Mus musculus: one gene and its partners. The protein of the gene in region 4 purifies or fractionates together with the protein of the main gene of each other region. This does not show direct contact. Links are inferred from orthologs where the notes say so. Each region holds a gene or a part of one and is shown on either strand. Other genes may lie near its edges.

Evidence for each region.
Region 1: the proteins of Trim47 (region 4) and Satb1 purify together in Homo sapiens (affinity purification with mass spectrometry; 4 studies listed by BioGRID and IntAct, with this or other methods). This does not show direct contact. The link is inferred for Mus musculus from reciprocal best matches to the Homo sapiens genes TRIM47 and SATB1.
Region 2: the proteins of Trim47 (region 4) and Ppm1a purify together in Homo sapiens (affinity purification with western blotting; 3 studies listed by BioGRID, with this or other methods). This does not show direct contact. The link is inferred for Mus musculus from reciprocal best matches to the Homo sapiens genes TRIM47 and PPM1A.
Region 3: the proteins of Trim47 (region 4) and Fbp1 purify together in Homo sapiens (affinity purification with western blotting; 3 studies listed by BioGRID). This does not show direct contact. The link is inferred for Mus musculus from reciprocal best matches to the Homo sapiens genes TRIM47 and FBP1.

Annotation. Positions count from the first base shown.
Region 1 is NC_000083.6:51,738,632-51,742,195, reverse strand, and holds part of Satb1 (DNA-binding protein SATB1), read left to right. Parts: intron 1-53; coding exon of another isoform or gene 54-149; intron 150-1,782; coding exon 1,783-2,298; 3' UTR 2,299-3,564. UniProt on the Homo sapiens protein: Crucial silencing factor contributing to the initiation of X inactivation mediated by Xist RNA that occurs during embryogenesis and in lymphoma.
Region 2 is NC_000078.6:72,785,186-72,788,749, reverse strand, and holds part of Ppm1a (protein phosphatase 1A), read right to left. Parts: intron 2,079-3,564; coding exon 1,961-2,078; intron 1-1,960. UniProt on the Homo sapiens protein: Enzyme with a broad specificity. Negatively regulates TGF-beta signaling through dephosphorylating SMAD2 and SMAD3, resulting in their dissociation from SMAD4, nuclear export of the SMADs and termination of the TGF-beta-mediated signaling.
Region 3 is NC_000079.6:62,885,452-62,889,537, forward strand, and holds the start of Fbp1 (fructose-1,6-bisphosphatase 1), read right to left. Parts: upstream 2,832-4,086; 5' UTR 2,593-2,831; coding exon 2,423-2,592; exon of another isoform or gene 2,200-2,422; intron 1-2,199. UniProt on the Homo sapiens protein: Catalyzes the hydrolysis of fructose 1,6-bisphosphate to fructose 6-phosphate in the presence of divalent cations, acting as a rate-limiting enzyme in gluconeogenesis. Plays a role in regulating glucose sensing and insulin secretion of pancreatic beta-cells.
Region 4 is NC_000077.6:116,107,407-116,111,512, forward strand, and holds the start of Trim47 (E3 ubiquitin-protein ligase TRIM47), read right to left. Parts: upstream 2,830-4,106; 5' UTR 2,815-2,829; coding exon 2,128-2,814; intron 956-2,127; coding exon 860-955; intron 603-859; coding exon 372-602; intron 217-371; coding exon 18-216; intron 1-17. UniProt on the Homo sapiens protein: E3 ubiquitin-protein ligase that mediates the ubiquitination and proteasomal degradation of CYLD.

The DNA of each region.
Region 1 (3,564 bases), on a different chromosome or scaffold from region 4:
CTTCGCAGGGCAGGGCAGGGCAGGGCGAGTCATGTTTGTTTGTCTTTCCTTAGAGCCTCTCTCCCAGCACCCTTGGGAAAGGAGAGTCTAGAGGCGTTTTCTTACCAAGCCTGCTGACCCCTGCACCATGGCCCCATGCTGCCCCTCAGGTGAGCGGGCACCAGTTTCCTGTGCTGAGGAGAAAGGGAGAAAAGAGGGTGTTGGTGAAGGCCACTTCCCCCAGTCAGGGTTTTCAGATGGGCAGTGCTAGAACGGCCTTGCCTCTGGCCAAAGCCCACAGTGCCAACCTCAAGACTGCTTGATGTCCCTGTGTGGGGCGTGGTGCTTCATCTGTCGGAATGCTGCTGCCCATGAGGGACTTGATTGAAAGGCTGTGGATCAGACCACGTATTGGGGATCCTGTGGCTAGTTGAATTTAAGTTGTGTATCTTGTTTCTGCTAAATCTGAAGGTTGCTTCTAGCTTTCTCCTTTAAGGGAAATGCCATTGCCTCTGGGATCCCAGAAACCTGCCTAACATCTTTGTTGAATCTCTTGCATTCCTTCTTGGTATTGCTGTATAGATATCTGTAGCTAAAATAATAGAGTTATCCATCCACCAGAAAAAAAATCCTTGAGTATTTATTAAAGATAAAACAAATTGAAAAAGAGAATCCCTTAGGATATTAAGCACTAAAATAATTGTGAAAGCCTGAAAAACCAACTGTTTCAGCTAAAACAAAGACAAGAAAGATATATGTTAAGTAATAAAAATAGTACTTGTTTGAAAATGTAAATTGTTTTTAATAAAATTGCTTCTTAGGGGGATAAGAGGAACTGCTTAAGCACAGGACGAATGTTGTAATACATCGCAGCTCTGCACCCGGGGTTGATTGGCTTGGCTGCTAAGAATTATGGGTGTCGAGTGCACAGTAGACACACGCCGCACGTTTGTTGCGTATAATTGTGTACAGGAATTACAGCACATATGCAGATACTAATTATGAAAAAGTGTCTGTATACATTAAATTTAAAGCCTAATCACATAGTAGTTTACTATAGACAAAACAATTCGCCAGCTGGCGTAGAATGGAGTGAACCTTTATTTGAAGGGGGTAAGAGAAAAAAAGCTTAGCGTTAGCCTAGTTGCAAACACTAGGAATGTGCGTCTGTCTGTCTGTCTGTCTGTCTGTGTGTCTGTGTGAGGGAGAGAGAATTGAAACTGTCTGAGAGAACATACTTTCATACATTCTGCACACCTCTTGGGAAAAGCCACTGCTGTGCTCCCCTCCATGGGACAGCCACAGAAAGCAGCATAGCCAGGTTTCCCCCGTGGAGAATGCAGTATGGCCAGGCACAGTGCTTCCCCAATGCCTGGGTAGCTCAACTGCCCAAAGATGTCTCAGGAATCCTTGCTAAGAGGGATTCTTCTTTTAAGTCTGTTAATGAATGACAGACATCATGATGAGCTTGCCTGGCCACCTTTGGTACATATCCCTTTCCAGAGAGTGTGTTGCTCACGTTTTTTCCAGTTGTTTTTCTCCTCCCCAGATTGGTGGTAAATGGGCACAGTAGCCCTGCGAGCTGCATAGCTTCCTAGCTGCCCAGCCCTGAGCTCAAATTTGTATGTATTTATTTAATAAAGGCTGTGGGCTGTTTAGCTGGCCTGCTCTTTCTCGGTGTGTCTTTCTCCCCTACTCCAGCCCCACCCCCACCCCCAGACACTGCACAGGCTTGGCAAGCACCCACTCTTACTCCTGCGGGCTCCTCCGAGCAGCTCTGACTGTCTGCTTGTCTCTTTGCAGCAGCAGCAACAGCAGCAGCAGCAACAGCAGCAGCAGCAGCAGCCACCGCCGCCACCGCCGCAGCCACAGCCACAGCCCCAGGCAGGCCCCAGACTCCCCCCACGGCAGCCCACCGTGGCCTCCTCCGCGGAGTCCGATGAGGAAAACCGGCAGAAGACCAGGCCACGAACCAAAATTTCCGTGGAAGCCCTGGGGATCCTTCAGAGTTTCATCCAAGATGTGGGCCTGTACCCAGATGAAGAGGCTATCCAGACTCTGTCTGCACAGCTGGACCTCCCGAAGTACACCATCATCAAGTTCTTTCAGAACCAGCGGTACTACCTTAAGCACCATGGCAAGCTGAAGGACAACTCCGGCTTGGAGGTGGATGTGGCCGAGTACAAAGATGAGGAGTTGCTTAAGGATTTGGAAGAGAGCGTCCAGGATAAAAACGCCAACACCCTTTTCTCAGTGAAACTAGAGGAAGAGCTGTCGGTGGAAGGGAGCACAGACGTTAATGCCGACTTGAAAGACTGAGAGAACAGTATTCTTTTCAGCCACACCACCGGTATTTCCTAACAACATGAGAAGTCCACCTTGTGTTCACTCAGACAAACCTTCATTGTTTATTGTTTGGCCAATGAATCTTCGGAAACTTGCACAAACAGGAAGGAAGTTGGAAGGACAGGACAGCCAGCACTCAAGGTTTTACTGTGTTTTACAAAACTGCTTGGCAGCCCCGGGTGAAGCGTCAAGGACTGTTTGGTAGAATTTGTGTTCAAGGGCTGCACCCAGGTGTTGTACCCTGTCAGCATGATACCAGAAATTGGTTTTCCTTTTGATTATTATTATTCTGGAGCCTCAAATAAGCATTATAACTTCTGTGGTTATGATTGCCTTTTCTTTAGTAATTCTTCTGTAACCCGCCACACTAGTCTTTGGAAACTGGCCCCTTATTTTAAAGAGAAAAAGAAAAAAAAAAAGAGAGAGAGAGAGTTTGTTACTCGATTGTATGTTAAAAAAAAGAACTATAGACTGTGGAATGCAGTTTAAAGATGACATATGCCAACAAATGCCTTGTATTGTATGGCACTGCCGTAATTAAAATTTGTTTTTTTATTTTGGAAATAAAAGTTCACTGTAATTTTTTTCATCCTCATTATTACATGATTTTTTTTTTAAGGAAAAGAAAATGTGAAACACAATTTAGTCCTTGTTATTTATTTGTAGCTCCTGCAGCATCATGTCATAATTAAGTTTTTTGGAGATTTCTGTTAAATGTAATGTTGCTTTCCCATCCTGATTTCCTTTCTATTTATAACTGTATTTTGATGGGCAGTAAAACAAAGTGTCTTAAAAGTTTTAAATAGAGAAAAATGTGCTTTACACAGTTGCCTATAAAAAGTCTATGTTATCCAAGCAATTCACTCTAGAAGCTTCGGTCTCGTTGTTGTATGCAATTTTTACTATCATGCAAATAAGCTTAGGTAAATAAAACTAATAGATCACCTTAGAAAATTATGCAATTAATGTGAAAATAATTGATGTTTGCAATGTGTCTTCCTTTGGTTTACAATCAATTTTAAAGCGACATCTGTATAAAGTTTCTGTATAAAGGTGTATTTCTTTTTTATGAGTTTATGGCTATGAAAACACCAGCTATTTTGTTACAGCTGCTGTTTTTATAAGTGTATCACAGTTTTCTTTATGCAGAAATGTGCTGATTAGGAGTGGTTATTGACTGTAAGTACACGATTAAAATTGTTTGTATGGTATGACATGGCAGGGTTTGTCTGCTTATGT
Region 2 (3,564 bases), on a different chromosome or scaffold from region 4:
TCCGCCTTCATAAGGACAAGCAGCCTTCAGTGAAGGCGGACACAGCAGCAGGAGGGAAGCATTATCCTTCCCAATGGTGGAGTCACACAGGCCAAAACGGTCGACAGCAAATCAATGAGGCTTAGTAGGGCCACAACAACTTAGTCAAGGCATGTATTTAAAAAGGTATTTGGTGCCTGCTTTAGAAGCTGTGTATCTTCATTTAAGACATACATCATTTACAGTGCAAAGTCACATTCTATGCCTTTAAATAGCAGCAGCTTTACCGAACATCATTTTCTCTCTAGTTGCATCTTAATTTATGACATTACCTCCAACTGCATGTTAAAACACTTGAATATAGCAAAAATATTGACTACTAATGTAAACTCTGCCCAGATGGCAACTCTCACTTGATAGTATGAAATATAAAACTTATAAAGTTATATGTATGTAGTGAATGTTTGATAATTCCACCAAAAATTTACTTTAAAATAAAGCACGCTTAAAGAGAAAAATAGCAATTCATTCCAAAAACTGGATATCACTTCACAGTAAAAATACTAAGGTATTTATTAATTCTTTATACCAATAAAACATATGCCCAGGTTAAAGTGCCAAGACATCAATAGGAACTTAACCCTATACATATTTTTTGGCTGCATATTTTTCTACCGATCAGCAATTTAGACCACTCACCCTGTAACATTCTAAGTATTTTTAACTTTACTGTTTTATCTACAAATAACATATTGAAATTACTTAAGATATAAAAAGTTACAAGAACCTTAAAATAGTGAGAAAAAATGCACTGACTAGTACACTCAATGAATGAAATACTAAACAGTACAAACACAGACATTACCATACAAGGAGGGAGGGGGTAAGAAGAACAAGACCGTCTCCGGTCTCTAGAAACACTGACAACCAAAACCAAACATGATGCTAATAGGCAGATTACAAATGAAATCAAGCAACTGAAATGGAGAAAATAAAATTAAGATGCACACTAATTTTAATAATGAAGACACAATGAGATGCAAGGACATGGCAGATTGAAGCTTGCATGCCAATTATGGTATCAGAAGAGTCAAACACACTTTTTACATGGAAGTGTTTCTGCTTATAGGGCCTACATGATCCATATGCATTGTGTGTACGCACAGGGGAGACAATGCTTATTTTATGCGTGGTGAACAGCATTATCAAAGATCACGTAAGGGCCGAGGTGTGCCACAGAGGGAAATACTTCCCTTCTGTGCAAAAAACCTTAGATTTGGTCCCAAGTTCCACAACCAAGTAACCAAACCCCACCAACAAAAGATTAATTTCTCCAAATACTTAAATGCATTGCTTTTTTTTTTTTTTTTTTTTTGAGGTACAAACACTTTCCATTTGTTCTACTCTAAAGTGATCTGCAGAGACATCAGATTCACACTCCTGGGGTTGCAAGCTACTTTCTTGATTCATCTGGGAATTCCTGCCAGGTCTGTGTTGTAAGCTCAAACTGCTCATGGCTCAGGAGGAAAGCCGTGAACCAGCTGAAAGCAGAGTTTCAAAGCTGTGGGACCCGACAGTTGTTGCTAAACATTTGACCTTCACGTTCTCAAAACCAAAACCAACAAAACAAAACCACCCAAAATCCAACCAACCAAACACAGGTAATTAAAAATATTCCAGAGACTTGCAGTACGTCTTTTCAGAGGAGGATACTCAGGCTTGCCTGGCATGACATTACACATGCCAGTGGGTTTAGCAAGAATCTTAGAGCCATGCTTCAGTCACTTGGAAGTTTCCTAACCATAGTGCACAGGGCCCAGGGAACACAGCTAAACAAATGGTTACTACAGAACGTCCTTTCCACACTAGTACTACATGCTAAAGGCATGTAATGGACTAAAACCTTTCTAAAAGGTTAGACTTTGTGTGGAAGGTTTTGTTTTGAAAGAAAGCTACTTATTTATTTTTGTTAATGATCCACCTTCTACTCTGCTCTCCAGGTACTTGTCCAGCTCCGCCTCCTTCTTCACCGCCTCTGCCGAGACTTTGGGTGCACTTGGAAAACAGATCAAAATCACACTCATGTTGTCTCGACTTCCCTGGAAAGAAAAGGTCAAGAAAGTATTTGATTTTCCTTCTATTTTTTTAAAACCTTGATTATTTTTATAACTTGCCAATCATAACTACTTTGTTTATTTGTAAGGAGAATAGGCAGGTATGTGGGAGGTCAGGTGCCTCCATTTAACTATCACCAGCACCCCAGAGGAATCCGTTCCAGGTTACATCCAATGTGGAGGTATTCTTTGGTGGCCACTTGTGCTACCTACCCACATGCGTATCATACAGCCACACACGCCATGAAACAGGACAGAGACCGAAAGTGCTGGTCTTTACAAGTTTCACAAATGTACACTGGTATTGGCTTAAAGCATGTTCTGAAGTACAAATACCCACTCAAAAGGAAACTAGATCAAGTTTTAACAGAGATTTGCTTGTCCTGGAACTCACTCTGTATACCAGTCTGGCCTCAAACTCAGAGATCCGCCTACTTCTGCCTTGTGCTGAGATTAAAAGCTGTGTGCCACCATGCCCGACCCAAACTTTATACATTTATAATCTATATTATATATCTTGTATAATAAAAAATAAATTTAGAAAGTGACTCTAAATTATTCAAGTCGCTGTGCCAGAACTGATAGCCTTACACTGTCTTTGCTTTTAATATTTTATTTAGCTATATGGAAAAACTGATCTTATATATATTAAACAAATTTTAATTTCAAAGACAGACTCTTATGAGGAAAGTTGTAAATATGGCAAATGCTAAGATACTGCACTATTCTGAAATGGCATAGAAAAAAAGTATAATTTCAGTAACTTATTACTATCCAAATTTAACAATTCACCAGGTTTTTATTTAGCTAGTGTCTGTCACTTAACTCTACAGCACTCTCCAGGGAACCTAGTGAAAGGCTGCTGGGCCATACACTGAGTGCGACAAAGTCTGCATGCACCTTGTTCTTCATGCACTTTGCTCTCTGCTATTGCACCTTGCTGTTGCTCAGGTCCCCAAGGCACACTAGCAGGCTGTCACTCTGCTGCCCTTTGAAACCTCACAGGCTGGATGCTACATCAACTTTCCTTTTGGCGGAATTAAGGTTTTACGGATACATAAAGTCTGTTTTCCAGTAGTGAGTCATGGAACAGCACTGGCAAAGTAGAACAGCATGGCAGAGACAATGGGCCAAAGTCAAGGACCCACTTAGAAGAGAGTGCCGAGTCCTCCAGGCAAGTTACAAGCATGTTTTGACTATGGATTTATCATCTATCAGTCCAGAGTACACACATATACACACAAATATCTATATAATATAGATATCTATATTATACAGCCTTCTAGAAGAGGTTGAGCAATTTAAGACTGAAGAGTACAAAAGTAACAGAGGTAGGCCTTGACTCTTGACTCTTAAGTCCACAGAACCTTCTCAGGCTTCAGCCTCCTTATCTTTTATATAAAGGGGCTCAACCAGCTTATCTATGTACGCGTTTCCACTGTACCCTCCTAATAGTCAACAGCCCCAGACA
Region 3 (4,086 bases), on a different chromosome or scaffold from region 4:
TGGTGGGGTTCTTGCAGATCTTCAACCATCCCATCCCTCTGGGTGAGTGCTCTTCTAAGGCCAACTGGCAGCCTTAATAAGCTCTTTATTATGGGCACACTGGCTCTCCATCCAACACATCAAAGCCCAAGTGAGCCTAATTGAAAGCTCTGTCTTTGAGATCTCATCTGCCTGCTAGTGGTCTGACTGCTTATCGTCCTGTGAATAGTCAGACGCTTCCTGTCCCACAGAATCCAACTTCTTCCCTCAGCCAGCATCAACACCTGTTCTACCACTGTAATAGCCCTAGTAGTGGGGACTTAATGCACTCAAGCTACAGAAGGGCTCCATTTCTCATGAGATGTCTGCAGCAAGTTAATAGGAGGTGGTGGATTGTCACATCCTGGTGGCAGAGAATGTTCATTATATAGCTGGAGAAAAACACGGCAAGTATAGTCCCATTTTATTTGCTAGCTACAGAGGAATGTGTAAATGCACGTTCATGTACACATTTGTGTGAGCATAAAAAACGGGCCTGGGAAAATAACCAAGAAAAATTAACAGTCAATTTGGTGTGTGTGTGTGTGTGTGTGTGTGTGTGTGTGTGTGTGGTGGGGCAGGGGGGTCGTTTTCCTTATTATCCTTTGAATGGCTTGGTGTTTTTGTGAATAGGTGCAGGGCCTTAAGGAATCTGGGACGACCTTTTCAAAGCTGATGCTGTGACCATCTAGTCTATTAGTACACATTCTCTTCTGTTCCAAACTTAGCACCTTCTACCCCTAACCCCGTTACCATTGTCTGAGATGTGAGTTAAAAAGTGAGATATCTTGAGGGTGATTAACCTAACCCTAGGTCTCTCTGGGGTTGTGGCAAGTACCAGTGCATTTTTAGAATAATGTAAGAAATGGCAACTGTCGTCTCTCACAAAACCCCCAGGTTCTGAGAGAGCTAAATCCTTGAGCTGTAAATTTAATTTGAAGTGAGACTTTTACCTGAGTGTGCTGGCTGAAAGGCTCCTTAGGGCTAAGAACACAGCGAAACAGTGAGGGAGTCATCACTTCTAATATACATGTCCCTAGCTTTCTCTAGTAAGGCTTAGCCTTGCTTGGCATCTAAAGTAAACATCACCAGGTGTTTTACGCTTAAGGATTATCCACCAAGCCTCACAGCAGAACCAGAGTTTTTCAGAAATAAATGCACACATAGCTAACACAGGCCACACTGTTGGAGGAGCATTTAAAAATCCATTTCAAAGGATTATATGTTCAAGTTAGCTACAAATCTCACATATCAGTCTCTCATTGCTCGTAGGAAAAAAATTTTTTTAAGTATGATATTTGTTAAGAAAGTATACCGATAACCTGAAAACCCAGGTTCCATTCAGTTGTGTGAAAACCAGTTAGGTCCCAAACATGTTGCTCAGGCCAGAACAAAGTACAGAAGTGTTGTGTAGTTTAAAAAATGAAGGTGTTCTGAGACTCCATGTTTCTTCATTTGCTCCTACCTACAGTACAAAATATGGACCATAGCATTAAAATCACCCACCATGCCTTGAATCCCCACTCAGGAGGCAGAGGCAGGTAGATAACCCCTGAGTTCAAGGCCAACTTGGTCTACTCACAGTGAGTTCCAGGACAGTAGAAGCTACATCGTGAGAACCTGTTTCTAACCCTAACCTTACATAGTGGACCTACATAGTGAGACCATGTCTCAATAAATACATAAACTTCTTCTTCATCTTCTTCCTCCTCCTCCCCCTTATCATCATCACCATCATCTACCACAGGGAACTTTTCTTATTCAAGGAGGGTCTGCATAACAAAGTCCCCAGATGGTTCAGGGGAAGGAGATTGGATTCTTGGCTTTATCAAAAGCAGTCTACTACTTCTGCTCTGTCTTTAAGCTCTTAATAATTGGGCAAGATCTGCTCCTAGCATTAATGCAAACAGGGAGAGATTTTGGTGCTCAGGAGGTGAGTCTACAGCTGGCTCCAGAAAGAGGGAGCGCCCGGAATACTGTGTGGCGGCTCCCTTCCAGACTGATAAGTGGTGGGATACTCTTTATGGGGCTTGTCTAGGTTAGGGATGATACTGAATTAGAAGCTGAATTTGGGATTTCAATTTCCAAGGAGAGTAACAGAGGTTAAAAGAGAAATGGGGAGAAAGGCGCAGGTATTGGCACTTTAGAGAGTCCCGGGTGGGCAGCTGGTAAGTCACTCACTTATACCAGGAATCTGGGAGGAGCGAAAAGGAGAGTTGAGACCAGAAGAGATCCGGCAATTGTGCACCAGGAGAAGGGAACGAGGGCTGTGTGCAGCAGAGCAGAATCTTAACTGTCAGATGCGACACTGGCAACCAGACCCATCAGGACCCAGCAGGGGTCCAGAGAAGCAGACCCCAGTCGTTCTAACGGATAAGATGCGGCAGCCAGAGGCCTAACTCACAGCTGTGCGATGCCCGCCTGGCGCACCGCAGACGAGATGGCTTTGATCGCGGTGCAGAGCGAATTCAGCAGCTGGGTCAACTCCCCCGTGCCCTGAGCCTTCCTGCCCTGCTCCATGACGAAGCGGGTCAGGGTGCTGATATCCGTTTCGAAGGGCGCATGGTTCGCCATTGCTGGGGTCTGGCGCAGGTGCTGGCTAAAGGTGCTGACTAAAGGTGCAGGCAGGTGGAGCCCACAGGTGATAGTCACAGCGGGAAGACTGAAAGCCGTTCAGTGTCTGCAGAAACTCAATGAACTTGAGTCCTGGGGGAGCCTATAGTCTCCAGGTCTCCGCCCCCCTGTCCCAGGAAACACCCCCTTGCTCCCTTCCTCTACCAACTGCCATTCTGCCCGCTGGCCAAGGTCCTCCTAGCCTCTCCCTCCCTCCGTTCCATGCACCCTCCCCTAGATGCCAAGCTGACAACGCTACTTCCTCCTCTGTTGCCCCACCGCCCACCTTGCCTCTGGGCTACCTGCATGGTTATCTCCTCCAATGCCCGCTATAACCTGCCAGAGAGGAAGGCATGATGGACTCCTCCTCCCATAACCCTTCCCCCGTCCCACCCACCCACCTGCTTAAAATACTAAGCAAATTCAGGGAGGTTGAGTAACTAGTTCAGGGAAAGCCGCACTTGAGCCTGAGGTGGCTTGGTTTCGATCCCTACCCACTGCTCTTCCTGAACCATCACTGTCTCTTCTGACCCATCTCCTGGGAAATGGATTCTCCCATCCACATCCACTCTGAATCCTTAATTGTTGCCTCCTCCCAGTTTCTAGAGTTGGAGAACTGTTGGGAACCTTAGTTTCTAAGTGTCTTCCGCAGAGAAAACTAATGCAGACACAAACAGCTATTCTCTGAAGTCAGGCTGTTCCGCAGCCAGCGTCCTTACCCGTGCCTGTTCTAGCTGTCACAAGTCATAGGCTGATTTGTAGAACAATTAATTACTGAGCAGGTACTGTGCACCAGGACACCGGCTTTCTTTGAGGTCAGAGCCCAAGGAGTACAAACTCCTGCCCTTCTTGAGTGTAAGATTGACAAGTAACAAAAAGAAACAAAAACATACCATGGATCAGTTTGCTACAGGAGCCACTTTGGCATAGAGAATCATGAAAAGAGAAAGATAAATAGAGAATGCTGGGAAGAGTAAACTGGGGTGTCAGGGAAAAGTTCACTGGGAAAATAATATTTGAGCAAAAAGCTGAAGGATGCAAGAGAAGAACCAGAGTGGACTTGTCTGTGGGACTGGTTAGCCAGCCAGGCTAGTGCAATCAGCTAGCACCAAGCTTATCAGAGACCATCTCTCAAAACAAGGTAGACAGTGCCCAAGGAACAGCGCCCAAGGCTCACATGTGTACCCGACAGCCACACAGACACCAGGAAAGAAAGGAGAAAAGAGAGAGAAGGATGATATTATGACAGATCTCACAAACCATAGCAAAACACTTGTGGGTTCTATTCACAGTGCTGGAAGAACCTGTGGAGGGTTTTAAGCTGGAAAGCTATGACTTGCTCTGTTCTACATGATGAAGGAACAGACTGCAGAAGGTCAAGAGCTGAAGCTGGGAGAGCTAGCAGCGTGCCTTCCATCTAGCCTGTTTGTGTTCCCTGTCTGATGTACAAAGATT
Region 4 (4,106 bases):
CATAATGGAGCACCCACCTTCTGAGCCGAGTTTCTGTAGCCCATCCTCATTGCTGCCCAGCCCCCGCAGCTGCTCCCACTGGCTGGCACAGGCTGAGATGAGGGTGTCTCTCACCGCTTTGACCACCTGGGAGGACTTGGTGAAGCTGAGTTCCCTGGGGGGCCCAGGCCCGGGGCCGCACCCCTCCTCCAGGGCCAGCCGTAGTGCCAGGAGCTCCTGTGCCAGACAAATGCCCAGTAAGTCTGCTGGCCACAGTGTCTCGCCACCAGGGAAGGTAGCAACTATCCTGGAAGGCCAGGTACCCATCCTGGCTGCCATTGTTTCTCAACCCCGCCCCATCTCTTCAATTATGGCTCCTGAGCCGCCCTCACCTGGAGAAAGCTGACTGAATCCGCCTCTGGAACCTGACCGAGGTTGTGCCGTGCCTTGCTTAGGCGGCTGCGCTGTTCCTCTTGTCTACGCAGGTCACCCTGGGACCGGCCCAACATTGTGGCCTCTCCCTCTTCGATGAACCCCATCACCTCGTTCTGGAAACTCTGAAGGGTGGCTGTGGCCTCGGCAAACATCTGGCTCACCCTCTCCCGCTCTGCCACAGCTGCACTCTGCAGGAGAGAGCAGAGGAGACAACAGTGAGGGCAAAGACCGGGCCTGCCCGCTGTCTCCGTCCCTGACTGCTTGTGCCCACCCAGCCCCCACCCAGCCCCAGCCTGCTCTGGGTCTGAGCCAGGTTGCAGGAAACAAGGTGTTCCTGCTTAGTGGGGACGAGCACGTCTAGAGTGGGCGGCACCACAGTGAGAGCTTGTGGTGATTTCAGAGGCCTGCTTCAGGGGTGCACAGGGGGATTGGGGTGGGCGCGGACCTTGATGAGGGCCACAGTACGGCGGGACTGTGCGATGCCGGCACCCAGTTCATCCATGCGGTCCTCCGCAGCGCTCAGGACTTTGGACTGCTCCACCTGTGGACCAGGTTTTGTGAGATTGGTGTCTGTCAAAGGTCCCCGGAACTGCATCAGATCTCAGAATTTGGGGGGCTAGGTAGTGACATTTGTGAATGAAGGGAACGGAAATGGCCGTGAAGTCCCAGAATATCCCCAAGGCAGCTCTGGCCCAAGCTGGTGCCATTTCCAAATGCCTGGCAAGGAAGCAGGTTGTGGGCATATGACAACCTGTTGACCAGAGAAGCCAGTATAGGGCCACCTATGATTCTCTATTTGGGATTGTTTTCCCCCTGGGGAAGAGGCAAAGTGTGAGAGGGTGGGGTAGGGTGTGACGTGACGGAACCAGAAAAGAGGACACTAAATAGTCCTGGGGATTAGTCTCAAAAGAGCCTTCACCCCCAATCCAGCTCTGAAAAATGGGGATTCCGGGCAAATCCCTCGGCTCTAATGAGTCACAGCTCCAGGCAGGAGAGGCGGAAAATCCCAAAGCCAGAGGCGCCAAGACCGGGATGGAGGCCAAAGGAAACTGGGGGTGGGAGGTAGCGGGACACTGGGCACATGCTCCCCACGGCCCCAGAGCATTCGGACAGAGGAGATCTGTGTGACCAGCCCAAACTCCGTCGCTCTCCTGGTGCCCGCCACACCCATACAAAGTGGCTGACTCAATTCAGGACGAATCTGAATTGAAGAGGGCATCAGCTACGGGGCCCCGCCCGCACCCAGCGACTCCTGACCCCCACGGCTTCTGAGGGCCTAATGCGGATCCCTCTCTCGCTTTACACTTACACTAATCTAGCTAAAGCGCTCTCTCTCTCTCTCTCTCTCTCTCTCTCTCTCTCTCTCTCTCTCTCTCTCGGCTTTTTGCCACTCTTTCATCTTACTAGTCCCTCCCGACTCTCTTTCCATCCACACCAGCCCCAGCAAATGACAGTGTAGACCGGAAGAGGTTGCAAAGATTCTCAGGCTAGAGGAGGAAACTAAGGCAGAGCCTATTGAGTCAGAGAGATGAAGCCCATGTAAAGGCAGGAGGAGAGAACCAACCCCACAAAGTTGCTTCCTTCATCTCCATGTGCACAGCCATAATGATAAAACAAATATATAACAGACACACCCGGATAAGAGTGAGGGACTAAATAGCTCTAGTGTCCCTCCTGTCACCCATCTCCACGTGTCGACTCAAGGTGCCCCACCTCCTGAAGCGCGCGCTCCTGCTCCAGCGGCACGAGCTCGTGGCCGCGATGGTCCTGAGTGGCACAGGCCTCGCAAAGGCACACACGCTCCACGCGACAGTAGCGCTCCAGAGGCCGCAGGTGGCGCGGACACAGGCTCTCCTCAAGTCGGCGCAGCGGGGGCACCAGGCGGTGGCCGCGCAGGGCGGGGCTGCGTTCGTGGGGGGCCAGATGCGCGGAGCAGAAGGAGGCGAGGCAGGAGAGGCAAGAGAGCGCGGCGGGCAGGGCGGCGCCCTCGGGGCACGCGTCGCAGCGCACCGGCTCCTCACCCGCGGGCCACTGCTCCGGCGCGCAGGGAGCCGATGGTTCCGGAGCCGGAGGTGGTGCGCTGGGCGCGGAGGGCTCGGGCGTGGCGCCCCGGGTCGATCCTGAAGCCGGGGCGGACATGGGTCCCGGGACCGAGCCCTGGCGGAGCTGCAGCAACTCGGACAGCGTGTGGTTCTTGCGGAGCTGCAGGCCGTCGGGGAAAGGCTCCTGACAAAGTGGACAGCGAGCTGGACCTCCGGAACCACCGGTGCCGCCCGCGCTCCGGTGCGGCCAGAGAGCGCCCAGGCAAGCGAGGCAGAAGTTGTGGCCGCAGGGTAGTGTCACCGGCTCCCGGAGCGGTTCCAGGCAGATGGGGCAGCTGAAAGGCCCGCTGCCGTCCATGGCTCCGCCGCTACCCGGGCACCGCCTGTGCTGCTCCCGCCTGGGAGGGACCTGGGACGGTTCGCGCCCGGCACCGCCCCTTGGGACCCTGGCCAAGGGTCCGGCCCCCTCCTACCCCTCCGCAGCTCTGCTCGCCCCAGCGCGGCTCGCCACCGCCGCACCCACCGGTCAGCAGACGCCGCGAGGCCGGCCAGCCCTCCAGGGGAGCACGACCCTCTTGAGACTTCTACCCAGCGTGGGCGGAGGCGGTGGGACTGCCAGAGGATTGTGAAAAGGAGAGGACCCGGAGCGAGAATGTGAGGGGATTCATGGGGAGGAGGCTGAGAGGACATTCGATCCTCCATCCTCTATCCTGGTCAGCCAGGTGCCATGGTGGGCGTGCACAGCCATGTAGCCAGCGCCTTTCCCTCCAGACCCCTCCCAGGTACAGTTAGCCAAGTTCCCTGAGTTGCTGACATACAGAAAAACTTACTGCTGGTATGTGTCTGTTTTGACCTCTTAGCGACTGTGTTTACCCGCGCTGGGGAACTTAGCCTTGTCTAGATCTGAAATGGGAAGCTGACATCACTTGACAAATCCCTTGTCTGAGGAATTTACTTCCGTTCATGGATACTCGCGGGTGCCTGTAGTTCCCCAAAAGGAGACACTGGTTAAGGCCTGCCCAACTATGCATTTAGAACAGTGCGTCTAGTTGCAAGGACTTGTGCTTGAGATTTAGTCTCTGTATGTAGCCCAGAGTGACCTAGAACTCTTCATCCTCCTGCCTCAGCCTCCTGAGTGCTGGGATCACAGGCTTATGGCTTCTTCGTGTTGTTTCTGGGATAGGTCTTTCTTACATAGCCTTGGTTAGCCCAGAGCTTATGTTGGCCTTGATTCCCATGCCTCCACTTCTCCAGTATTGAGATTCCAGGTGCAGGCCACCATGTCGGGTAAACTGACATTGTAATAATGCAATAATGTTAAGCTTTAAACTATGTAGAATCAAATTGTCAAAATTATTTTAGTAGTTATTTTATATGCGCACACTGTTGCTGTCTTCAGACACACCAGAAGAGGGCGCTGGATCCCATTACAGATGGTTGTGAGCTACCATGTGGTCAGTGCTCCTAACCGTTGAGCCATCTCTCCAGGCCCTTATTATTGTTATTATTATTATTATTATAGAGTGGAGCCCACAGTTGGTAAAGTGTAAGGGCCTGAGTTAGATTCTAGCCCCTGGTTAAAGGCTGAGCATGGTGTCCAAAACCAAACGAATAAACAAAGTGGGTGGAATAGTGTTGTTACAACCCTCG